2 linked regions of the Drosophila melanogaster genome follow. The protein of the gene in region 2 interacts with the protein of the main gene of each other region in a pairwise test. Each region holds a gene or a part of one and is shown on either strand. Other genes may lie near its edges.

Region 1 (5,135 bases), on a different chromosome or scaffold from region 2:
CTTCTACGTCTGCGTCAATGACACGGCCAATTCGCTGTATCCGCTGATGATGAAGTGCCACGAGGGATTCGTTTTCAACAGCTACAGCTGTGTGCCCGACACCAGGAGCATGAGGAGCATTCAGGCGATGGAGTCCCACACGTGCATGAACAACGATAGGTACCAATGCCCCTTCCGAACCTCTGAGATCGAGTACTGCAAGTGCGTCGATGGAGAACTGGAGGTGATGACCTGTCCCGCCGGCTTCCAAATTGATCCTAAGATCCTGACCTGCGTGACTGATAGGATCTATCAGTGCTCGGACTTTGAGATCCTCAGCTGTCCCAATGTCTCCACCAAGGATGAGTACTGCATATGCATCGATCACCAGCTGCAGATCTACAGCTGTCCAATGGGACAGTATTTCAATGCTGAGACTCGAAAGTGCCAATCAGAGTCAGAGTAATGAATTGTTTTCATGGTACCAATATTGATTCAAGTAAATGCCTATTTAAAAAATTGAAATCATTCTGAACATTTTAAGATAAACTACAAATAACTATAAATATTCACCAAAATTTTAATGAGACCCAGTAACGACAACAAATCAGTTTGAATCTTAAGCCTAAGAAAGTGGAGGGATACGGACTCAATCGTCACATTCCCGCACCACAGGATGCAGGACGATCGAGGCTCCGTTGCAGCCCGTGCGATCCGAGATGAAATCGTGGAAGTTGCTCTCCAGCGCCCACATGAATCGCTTGTGACCCGGGAGCACTTGGGTGGACAGCCGGCAGTCGCCTCCCCGCTGCACCTCCTGCAGATTGGCGGCCTTGAAGCAGGTCTCCGAGTCCCACAGGTAAATGTCGTTCTCGCCCTTGTAGCGGAAGAAGAGCGAGGTGCCGCCGTCGGCGCCCAGCAGCACCGCCTGTTTGCCATAGGGCTTGGGGCCCACGTCGATGATGGAGCCCGCTCCCTGGCCAACGCGCAGGTACTCGCCCTTGATGGAGTACAGACGGGGGGAGCTCAGGTAGCTGAAGAACAGGGTGGAGGTGCCGTCCGGCTTCGAGGTGAGCGCCACGTACAGCACATCGCTGGTGGGGGCGGTGGCCTTCGGCAGGACGATGCGGTAGGACTTGTTGCCGGTGATGTCGTATACCAGGATACTACGTGCTCCAGCATCGGCCACATAGCTATGGTTGAAAGTGAAGGAAATATAATGTGGAATGAGATTAGATATCATGTATGCAATACAAATCGATTTTATTTGGTATATGATGAGCCACACTTCTGAGAACTACCTTGAGCAGATAAGATATGAGCCTCAAAGTGGCTAATGCCCTTTTGATTGGCTCAATGATCGCTGATTGAAAGCATGATTGAAAGTGTGTGGTAAAAGTACTCCAAACTCTTGATTCAGTTCGATGATTTCAACGAATATTTTATGACTGCAATATGAATCTCTGAATATCATTGTGCTGATAAATAATGGTTAGTAATAATGGTTAATAATAATGTAATGTGTGGTATTAATTTCATAGTTGATGTATTTCAAAAAGTGATTAAGTACAACTCATTTCACAGATGAAGTTAAGGGTAATAAAAGAGTATAGGCAATGGAACTCACACGAATGGCTTGTTGTCCTTGGAGTAGTCGACCACGATGAACTGCAGCCGACTCTCGGAGGTGACCAGGTCGCTGAGGTCGATGCTCTTGACCACCTTGTGGTTGGCCGTGTTTATGGCCACGATCTTGGGACTGCATCTGCGGATGGGCTGCTCCAGGGTGTTGACAATGCCCACGTCCAAGGCCCACAGAAGTCCCTGCGAACGGAGAAGGCAATTATTAATTGCTATCAATTGCAGCTCGTGTTGATTGTTGTTAATGTTTTCATTTGGCGGCTAATTGAAATGTTGGCGGCGTTAAAAATTCCACATTCGCAAATATGTGGCCATAAAATGAGTATCAGCGAAAAGCACTGAATGGAAAATTGCGCAAATAAATAAATACAGTCGCCTCGTTTGTTTGCCGTTTGTTATTGTTTCGTCGACTTTTGTGTAAATAAAATAAAGAAATGATTTGCATAAATGCAGCTAAACGGGAATGGCATTTAAATGAGAACGATTCGACGCCAACAATAATTGAAGGAAATTATTAAGTTGCAGCTTATGCTCGCAATCGTAAGTAGGTCATGTAAATATTTAATAGCATCATTGTAATATCTGCGAATGCATCTGTCATTTAAAATTAAAGCTGAGAACTTCTGAAGTGCAATCGAAATGCACAAAACACGGCTGGATGGCCTGTTCCCAGCATTTCCAAAATTATTTTCGAGAACTTTTCACTGCATTTGCTTGTCACTTTTCAGCTGCAGTCCTTGTCCTTTATAATATTCCATTTACCCCACAGCTTTTTCGGCGTTTCCGTATCCGTTTATTCTACCCTTAAATTGCTGCCGCCAATTGACGGGCATGAATTTTATTTGGAGCTCTTCACTTTTGTGGCCCCGTTTATTTGATTAAAAAAGTAATATTTGGTCGACAGCGAGGCTAACCAATTAAAAAAGTGCGTCCGGCAAGGGGTTAATGCGAAAACGATACCCTGGAGCTAAACTCCCGATTTTGATCGACTTTGTAAGGGCTAGCAAATATTTAACACTGCGACTGCACATCAATATCAATATCAGAAGATAAACTAAATCATTTTTAGAAAAAAAAAGTGAATAGCCCTAAGAGCATTTCAATGCTACCCTGTAATCCACCCACGATACAAATATGAATTAAACATTTGGTGTGGGTTAAAGTGCTATGCCTCCATGGTGGCCAACAACGAGCAGTCCGTAATTAAAGGCAGAACTGGCAGTTTGGACGAGACAACTTGTCTGACCCCCAAAAAAAAAATGGTCCAAACAATACTGGCGTTAATTGCACTCACATTCTGATCGACGGCTATGTCCACGACGGACTGCAGCGCCTGGCAGTTGCCCTCCTCCTGAATGGCCCAGCAGGGATAGGGTGCGATCTTGGTCAGGCACTCGCCCTTCTTTAGATTGACCTTGCCGAGAGTGAAGGGCACGCCCTGCTTGTACCTGGGCAGCGCCACGAAGGCGGAGTCCCGCTGCAGTTGGGCCCGGGTCACGATCACGTTACGGGGCACATAGCGGCCGGACTGGACGTAGATGTTCTTGGTGGACTCGCAGGGCCAGTGGAGGCTGCTGCCGCTGAGCTGGAAGGTCAGTTCGTTCAGCGGGTTCTTGTCGCACTTGGTGCCGCCAATGGAGTTGGAGGCGTCCGTCGACTCGTCGGTGGAGGAGCTGTATCCCGCGAGGACCACGGAGGCCGAAGCGACGAGGAGCAGCAGTTGCAGCTGCGACATTTTTCGGCGTTTCTTTCTGCGCTTTCCACAAACAGAGCTTCTGCACTCGATTCACCACGTTGGCCAGAACATAAAACTGTCTGAGCGATGGTAGACCTGCATTTATATATAATACCCAACGACTTATGCAGCCAGCATGTGGAGCGTGTTGCGGCAAGGTCGTTGGTTGCTTGACACGGGGGGGAACAAGTGTCTGTCTGGAGTGGCTACCACCCAGCCAGCACGTCTGGCCCACGCCGGAAGTCGGCCAGACCTCTAAGCCCGCTCGGTTTCTAAGCAATGCGGAAAGCGATGCGGAAATGAAATGCAAACTTAACCCCTTCCCTCTATCTAGATTACACGATTCTTCCTAAGCCATCCAAATCAAATTTAACTCCCCTGGTTTTTACTTTAATTGTCTTGATAACAGTTTGTTCTATTATGGCAATCTATGCCTGTCTAATTAATCACTTCTACTCCTTTTATTGCTCTTATTTTCTGAGTATAACTTTGTGCTATTATAGCCATTTATAGGCAGCTAATTAGTCACTCAAGTCCGTTCAATAAAATGGGTTCAAGTTGCGAAATAGCTTCTGTCACTCATCGATCGCTCTTGTGCATCCGACAGAGTAGCAAGTTTCACCCCTTGGCAGGCAAAGTTCAGAGGTCGCTGCGAAACACTTGCCAAAGTGGCCCAAAAGTTCAATATCAATGCTGACGTCTGTGACCTGCATATCTGCGACCGAGAAAGTTTCAGTTTCTTGGCTCGAGTTACCAGCTATTTTCGGATGACAAAAACATCTGTCAGTCCGTCCGTCTGCAGCTAGCTATCAGTTTGCTTTTGGGGGAGGGGGCGGGCGAAAGGAGAAAGTTCGGGGAGTTGGTGGGGCACATTACTCGCAGATAAGATTGCAAGTTGCCGGAGATTCGTCGTGTGAATCACACCCACAGTTTCGCGGAACAGTCACTCTGTTCCAAATTGATTTCATTTCTATTTTAAGATAAATGCAAAGGCGAAATTTTATCGCATCAGGGAACTTTAAAAGGCGCTCTGAGTTCGCCATTTTCAAGTCGGGGGTATAGCTCAGGGGTAGAGCATTCGACTGCAGATCGAGAGGTCCCCGGTTCAAATCCGGGTGCCCCCTGGAACTACATTTTTTGCCATATTTTTTTTTGTTGGCTGCTCAAGTCTCTTTGTGGACTTTGGTGGACTTTTTTGCACGTTGATTGCGGGGGGATTAGAGGTGTATCCGCCCGACGTGGTCGATGACCCCGTTAACTCGTAGAAACCCACATATCGCCAAGCGGCGAATAAAAAATCTTTGACACATTCGGGCAAGCGGTGGAGGAGTCGGTGTCCAGCTGAAGAGTCTTTTGTTTGGGACAGCTCGTGCAGCGAATTATGGACAGCACTGGGCTTACATTAAATCACAAAATGTTTAATCTCCTTACAGCTGCCCATCATCAAATGACCATCGGCGGGTCAACATTTTGATAACCCATTCATCGGGGGTCAGACTGGCTGCTCCTTCCGCATGGCGGAATGGGAAGGGTCTGTCTATAATGCCAAATTACATGCAGATTGAATTTTTGTGAATTCCGATTCAATAAACTGCCATGGGTCCAAACCCCCCTTCCCACGATCGTAATCCCCCGATTTATGGCACACACATGCCCAAAAGCAGGCGGATGTGATAAGTGCTGTGATATGTGGGCGGGATTGTCAGTCGGGCCGAATCTGTGGATAAATATTTATGTGCTCCAACATAAATAAAAGCAAAGTATGCAAATGGAAATTTGA
Region 2 (4,984 bases):
CGCCGGCATTCTCACATAGGTTGCTCCGGCCGTTAGGCCGCCAACAGCATTGCTTATGTAGACAGGTCGTCGTTGCAGCTGCACAAGAGCCGCCTCGGTCACGGGCACCGACAATCGGTGGGTGGTTGTGCTCACAATACTACCGGCGGGCAGTTGTACCAATTGCTGTGATCCTCCGCCGGCTGTTGCGGCGCCACCAGCGGCACTACTCGTCGCTGCTCCAGCTGTTTGCGTTGCCGCACTAATTTGGTACTCCAGCTGGCCGTGCTGCAGCTCCTCGTCATCGTCCTCATCCTCTTCCTCCTCCTCGTCGGGCATTTCATCATCCTCTTCCAGCTCCAGCTTAACTTGCGTGGACAAATGCGCGGTGGTTTCGGGCTCCTCATCGGCCTCGGCTGCCTGAGCCTCCTCTTCGATATCCTGCAGATTCTCATCGTTCAGCTCGGGATCTTCCTCCTCCTCGTCCTCCTCCTTGATATCGCTGGCGGCTAAAACGGACGAGTTACCCGTGGCCTGGATTATGATGCGGCGTCCGTTTAGCAGATGATGTTGCTGCTGTTGCTGCTGCTGCTGAATGAGCAACTGTTGCTGGTTGTCCAAGTGATTGCTGTTGTTGCTATTGCTACTGCTGCTGTTGCTGCTAAAGGAAGCGCTGTTGTTGGTTGCTGCGGCTGCTGTTGCTGCAGTTGTTGCTGCTACTGCTACGGCAGCTGCGGCTGCTGCTGCGGTCGGTGGGTGGTTGTTGCTGCTGTTGTCCAGCTTCAGATGATGATGCGGATGATGGTGTTGCTGCTGCTGCTGTTGCTGCTGAAGATGCTGCTGCTGTTGCTGCTGATGCGAATGCGAGTGAGGATGATGCTGCGAGTGATGATGGTGATGCACATGCGTATGCTGGTGAGGATCGTCGTCCTGCTCCATGGGAGCATCCTGCAGTATAAATTCGATCTGTTGCGATAGGGCGCTATCGTTAATGGCCATTAATCCGTCCATATCTTTGACACCGGCAGCGGCGCCAACGGCGGGGAAGAGCGATGGCAGCGCCGTCGACGTCCCGCTGCCGCCGTCGACGTTCGTCGCGCTGCTGGCCATGGCAGCGATATACTAATTGATGTATATTTCCCTTATTTGTATCTGCAAATCGTACAAACATTTGGATTAGACTCACATTCGGCCATGGCTGGTGGGCAATAACTTACGTTCTTCTCTTGAGCTGTTGGGGATGCGACGCCTGTGTTTGGCGTAAACCTCCAGCTATGTTGAATATATTGTTAGCCTGAGAAATAGAACAATATTATGAACTCTGCCACAAAATCTAACAAACAAGTTAAGTCCATTCGAGTTTCTGATGTCTTAAAGTACGGGTTATTAAATAAAACTAGATGAAAGCGAAATGCTTTCAGTACTGAGAGGAACAACTATACAAAACTTTGGTGATTAAGTGATAATTTCATCGAAACGAACTAGTTTTTGTTTGGAAAAAGCAGGGCTTGTTGTTACTTACAATTTTTTGTTTGTTTCTTGTCGTTTTGGCTGCCAAAGTTTTCTTTTATGTTACTACTCCCTATTTAAAAATCTTGCCTTTGGGCGTCTGTTGTTTCCTCTTCTACAGAATTTTGTTTGTCGAAGCTGCCATAATTAATAATTGTTGTATATTTTTCAAGTTGCCGCTTCCTCTTCGCCTTCTTCTTCTTCTCATAGATTTGCTGATGGGCTTCTTCTTCTGCTTTAGTTATTACATCTGTTTCTTCCTCCGTTTATTCTGTTCTCTTTCGAATGCCGCTTCTTCCTTGACTCGTATTATTATTACTATTATTCTTCGATTATACGATTGGAAAACACACACACACGCACACACACACACGTTCTTGTATTTTTGTTGTATTTTGTTTTGTTTTTCGTTTGCTCAACGCCTCGCTGTCGGCCTTTCCTTTATGTTCACATTTGGTTTTTTGGGCTGCACAAAAATTTTCCATTTCCTTGTCATGCGGTTTTCTGTGCTTTCCATGCGGCGACGCTGGCGTCGACGTCGCTGCTGGCTGCGCTGCTCCTGGCTGTCGTTGTTGTTTTAGCTTTTGTTGTTTCCTTGCTTGCTTTCCACATTTTAGTTAAAAATGTTTCTGCGCTGTTTTTTGTTGTTTGCTTCACGCACGCACACACACACACAGAAGTCGTTACATTTGCTCCTTTCCTTTTTGTTATTATTATTATTATTGATCTGCTCTCCTCTTTCGCATTTTGTGCAATTTGATTACTAACTGTAAGTGAGATGTAGAAAAATCAGGTAAATTATACACGTTTTTGCTGCTGTTAACAATTAAATGCGTTTTACGAAATCCGATTTTCCACCCACACTCACACACACACACCAGTGCGCGCCTTGGAAATAAAAACAAAAAATTAATTTTAGCTTTTCCCCCCACTCTCTCTCTCACCATCTCTCACACACACACACATTCACAGGTTTTTCACTTTTGCTCCATTTTTCTTTCGGTTTTTTTTGGGGAAGTCTCTCCTCTCCCTTGCTCACACTTTTTGACCTTTTCGATTGTTCTTCTTTTGCCTTTTTCTTTTGCCACTGCTGTTCGTTCCTTTGGTTTTATGTTGCGTTTATTAACTTGCTAATTGTTTAGTTCGTTTTATTGAATTTGTTTGCGTTATTTTTTTGCCATTTCTTTTTCGGTTTCGTTTTTTTTTTTGCAAGGCAGCAACAACAACGAACGACGAGACAATTAGCGGCTGCGCTGCTTCTTCTTCTTCTGCTGCTGCTTGCTCTCCTACTCTGATTCCTATTCTTCTTCTTCTTCGTCCGTGTTTCCCAGCCGATTTTTGCTCCCCCGCGAGTAGTTTTTCTTTGGCTTTCCCCCGTTCGCCTTTTGTTGTTGCCGTTTTCCACACACCCGCTTTACTTTTCACATCCGCAAGCTCGTTTTTCCCTTTCGCGCTGTTCTTCCACACTGTTCAATAATAACAAAAAAATATTTGCTTGTGTGTGAATTTTTGCCTCCCTGGGTCTTACTACGCTCGTGTGTGTGAGTTAGTGTTGCGCAGGGTTGCATTCGGCGGTCAGTGTTGGTAAACGAACGGGCGATGGCGCGCAATTTCGTGCAATATTCAAAAAGTTAATTGGTTTTCGGTTGGCCCGCACACAAAACAACGTTACTTTTATTTCGTTTTTCTTTTTGGTTCTTGTCCTACTCCGTTTCGCCTTTTTTTTTGCCTTTCTTACCCTTTTTAAACACCCACACAACTTCGTTCTCACTCACAACACAAAACCAAAATATACAGCAGGGGTCAATGAAATAGTATTATCAGGTACATCTTACTCAACATCTATTAATTTTTCCTTAAACAGATTATTTTTAAATAAGAAATGAAAAACAACATTTAATTATTATTATTAATTTAATAGGGGCTTAGTACACGCATTTTAAGATCATACTACAAGCGAGCATCTACTTTCAAAAGAAGGCCGTCTTAACGAATTCCCTATTCTCTCGGCCACAACTGTTCCTAAAAGGACTGCCAGAACTTGGAGCCCAAAAAGGGAGCACAAAAAGAGGACGTTGTTGGGCGGGGGAGCAGGGGGAGAGCTGACCTAACAAGCGGAAATACATAGGCACAAAAGAAATACGCCAAAAGGCAGTCGGCGTGAGCGAGAAGGATGGAAAATGGTCGAATTGCGCGAGAGCGAAAGAGGGGACGCTAGCGCGTCATACGTTGCACAGTGGAGCGAAATAGGTGATAATAAAACAACAAACTCATTAATATTACATTTAAAACATTAATTTAGTGCCTATGAGTTCACTGGAGCGTGAAAATTCGAAATTTGTTAGAACACCTAGTCTGCGCGTCCCACTGTGCGATGGGGCCCGCAGCGGGGGGCGACAAAAGGCGTGAGAGGTGGAGAAGCCGTTTTATTTCGACAGTTTCTGAATTGTGCTCTCTCTCACTCACTCACTCTCCTTCTCCATCTTGCTTCTCCCTTTTTTCGAGTGCTGCTCCTGGAAAGATGAGGAGCAAGAGGAAGAAAACATCATCACCTTGGAAGAAAAAAATTTTCAGTGGGAAATAATTCGCTTCGTTTTTTTTTTGGTCTTTTCATTTGGTGGGTAGTGGGTGGTTTTATTGCTCAGTGATTTTTCGCCGGGCGGCGACGGGTGGTGAAGTTTTTGGGGGTTGAAAGCACACACACACACACTAACGCAAACATCAGCAAAATAAAGGGCTAACAAGGGTTAAAAAATATCCGCACAACAAAATAATAGCAGATAAAAAAAAACTAAATGAAATTCACACACAAAGGCAGCTGGAATCCTCTCCCCCACACAACCACACACGCACACTCAAAGAAAAGAGAACTAGTTCTTTTGTTTTTCTCTTTTCGTAACTAGTGGATAACTACTTCCATGCCATACATCCATATATATAAATTTACATATTTATTTAATTGTTTATATTTTTTAGCTGGCGCCGCTCTCTTGCCCTCTCTCCATCACACATTATTCGCACTTCACGCGCACGCACACACACACACTCGCACATGCTCGACACGCACACTCCTTTCGCTTTTCCATCGGTTTTTACTCACACTTAACATCACATTTTCGTTTGTTTGCGGGGTGTGTGCAATGCAGTTGGTTTAGTTTATCAGTGGTTTTAGTTTGTTATGTTTTTTACAGTTGCTTTAATTGCGTTTTATCGCCTTTTTGTTTTGTTTTTTATTTTTTATGAAAGGTTGGTAATGTGACCAAAGCCTGATGCTTAGAGATGGAATAACTAAAGCGATACTGGCAACAGTCACTATCGATACTTTGTAGGTACATCGATACATCGAAAGGAGGTGCAATTGCCAAATATTTAAAACCTAAAACTAAAACTGAAAATACTAAAATACTTACTTGATGTCTGGGCACACTGAAACTGGGTTTTTGAATTTTTACCGGTTTTTTATACACAGAAACACGAAATGCCGCCGTTTTATAGC

What was found.
Region 1: the proteins of CG32767 (region 2) and yellow-g interact in a two-hybrid assay, tested with the Drosophila melanogaster proteins (2 studies listed by BioGRID).

The regions. Positions count from the first base shown.
Region 1 is NT_037436.4:2,269,337-2,274,471, forward strand, and holds yellow-g (yellow-g), read right to left. Parts: upstream 3,434-5,135; 5' UTR 3,356-3,433; coding exon 2,915-3,355; intron 1,804-2,914; coding exon 1,607-1,803; intron 1,173-1,606; coding exon 629-1,172; 3' UTR 545-628; downstream 1-544. Other genes in the region: CG32302 (uncharacterized protein), read left to right, coding at 1-445.
Region 2 is NC_004354.4:5,079,985-5,084,968, forward strand, and holds the start of CG32767 (uncharacterized protein), read right to left. Parts: upstream 3,042-4,984; 5' UTR 2,433-3,041; intron 2,256-2,432; 5' UTR 1,502-2,255; intron 1,274-1,501; 5' UTR 1,197-1,273; intron 1,132-1,196; 5' UTR 1,090-1,131; coding exon 1-1,089.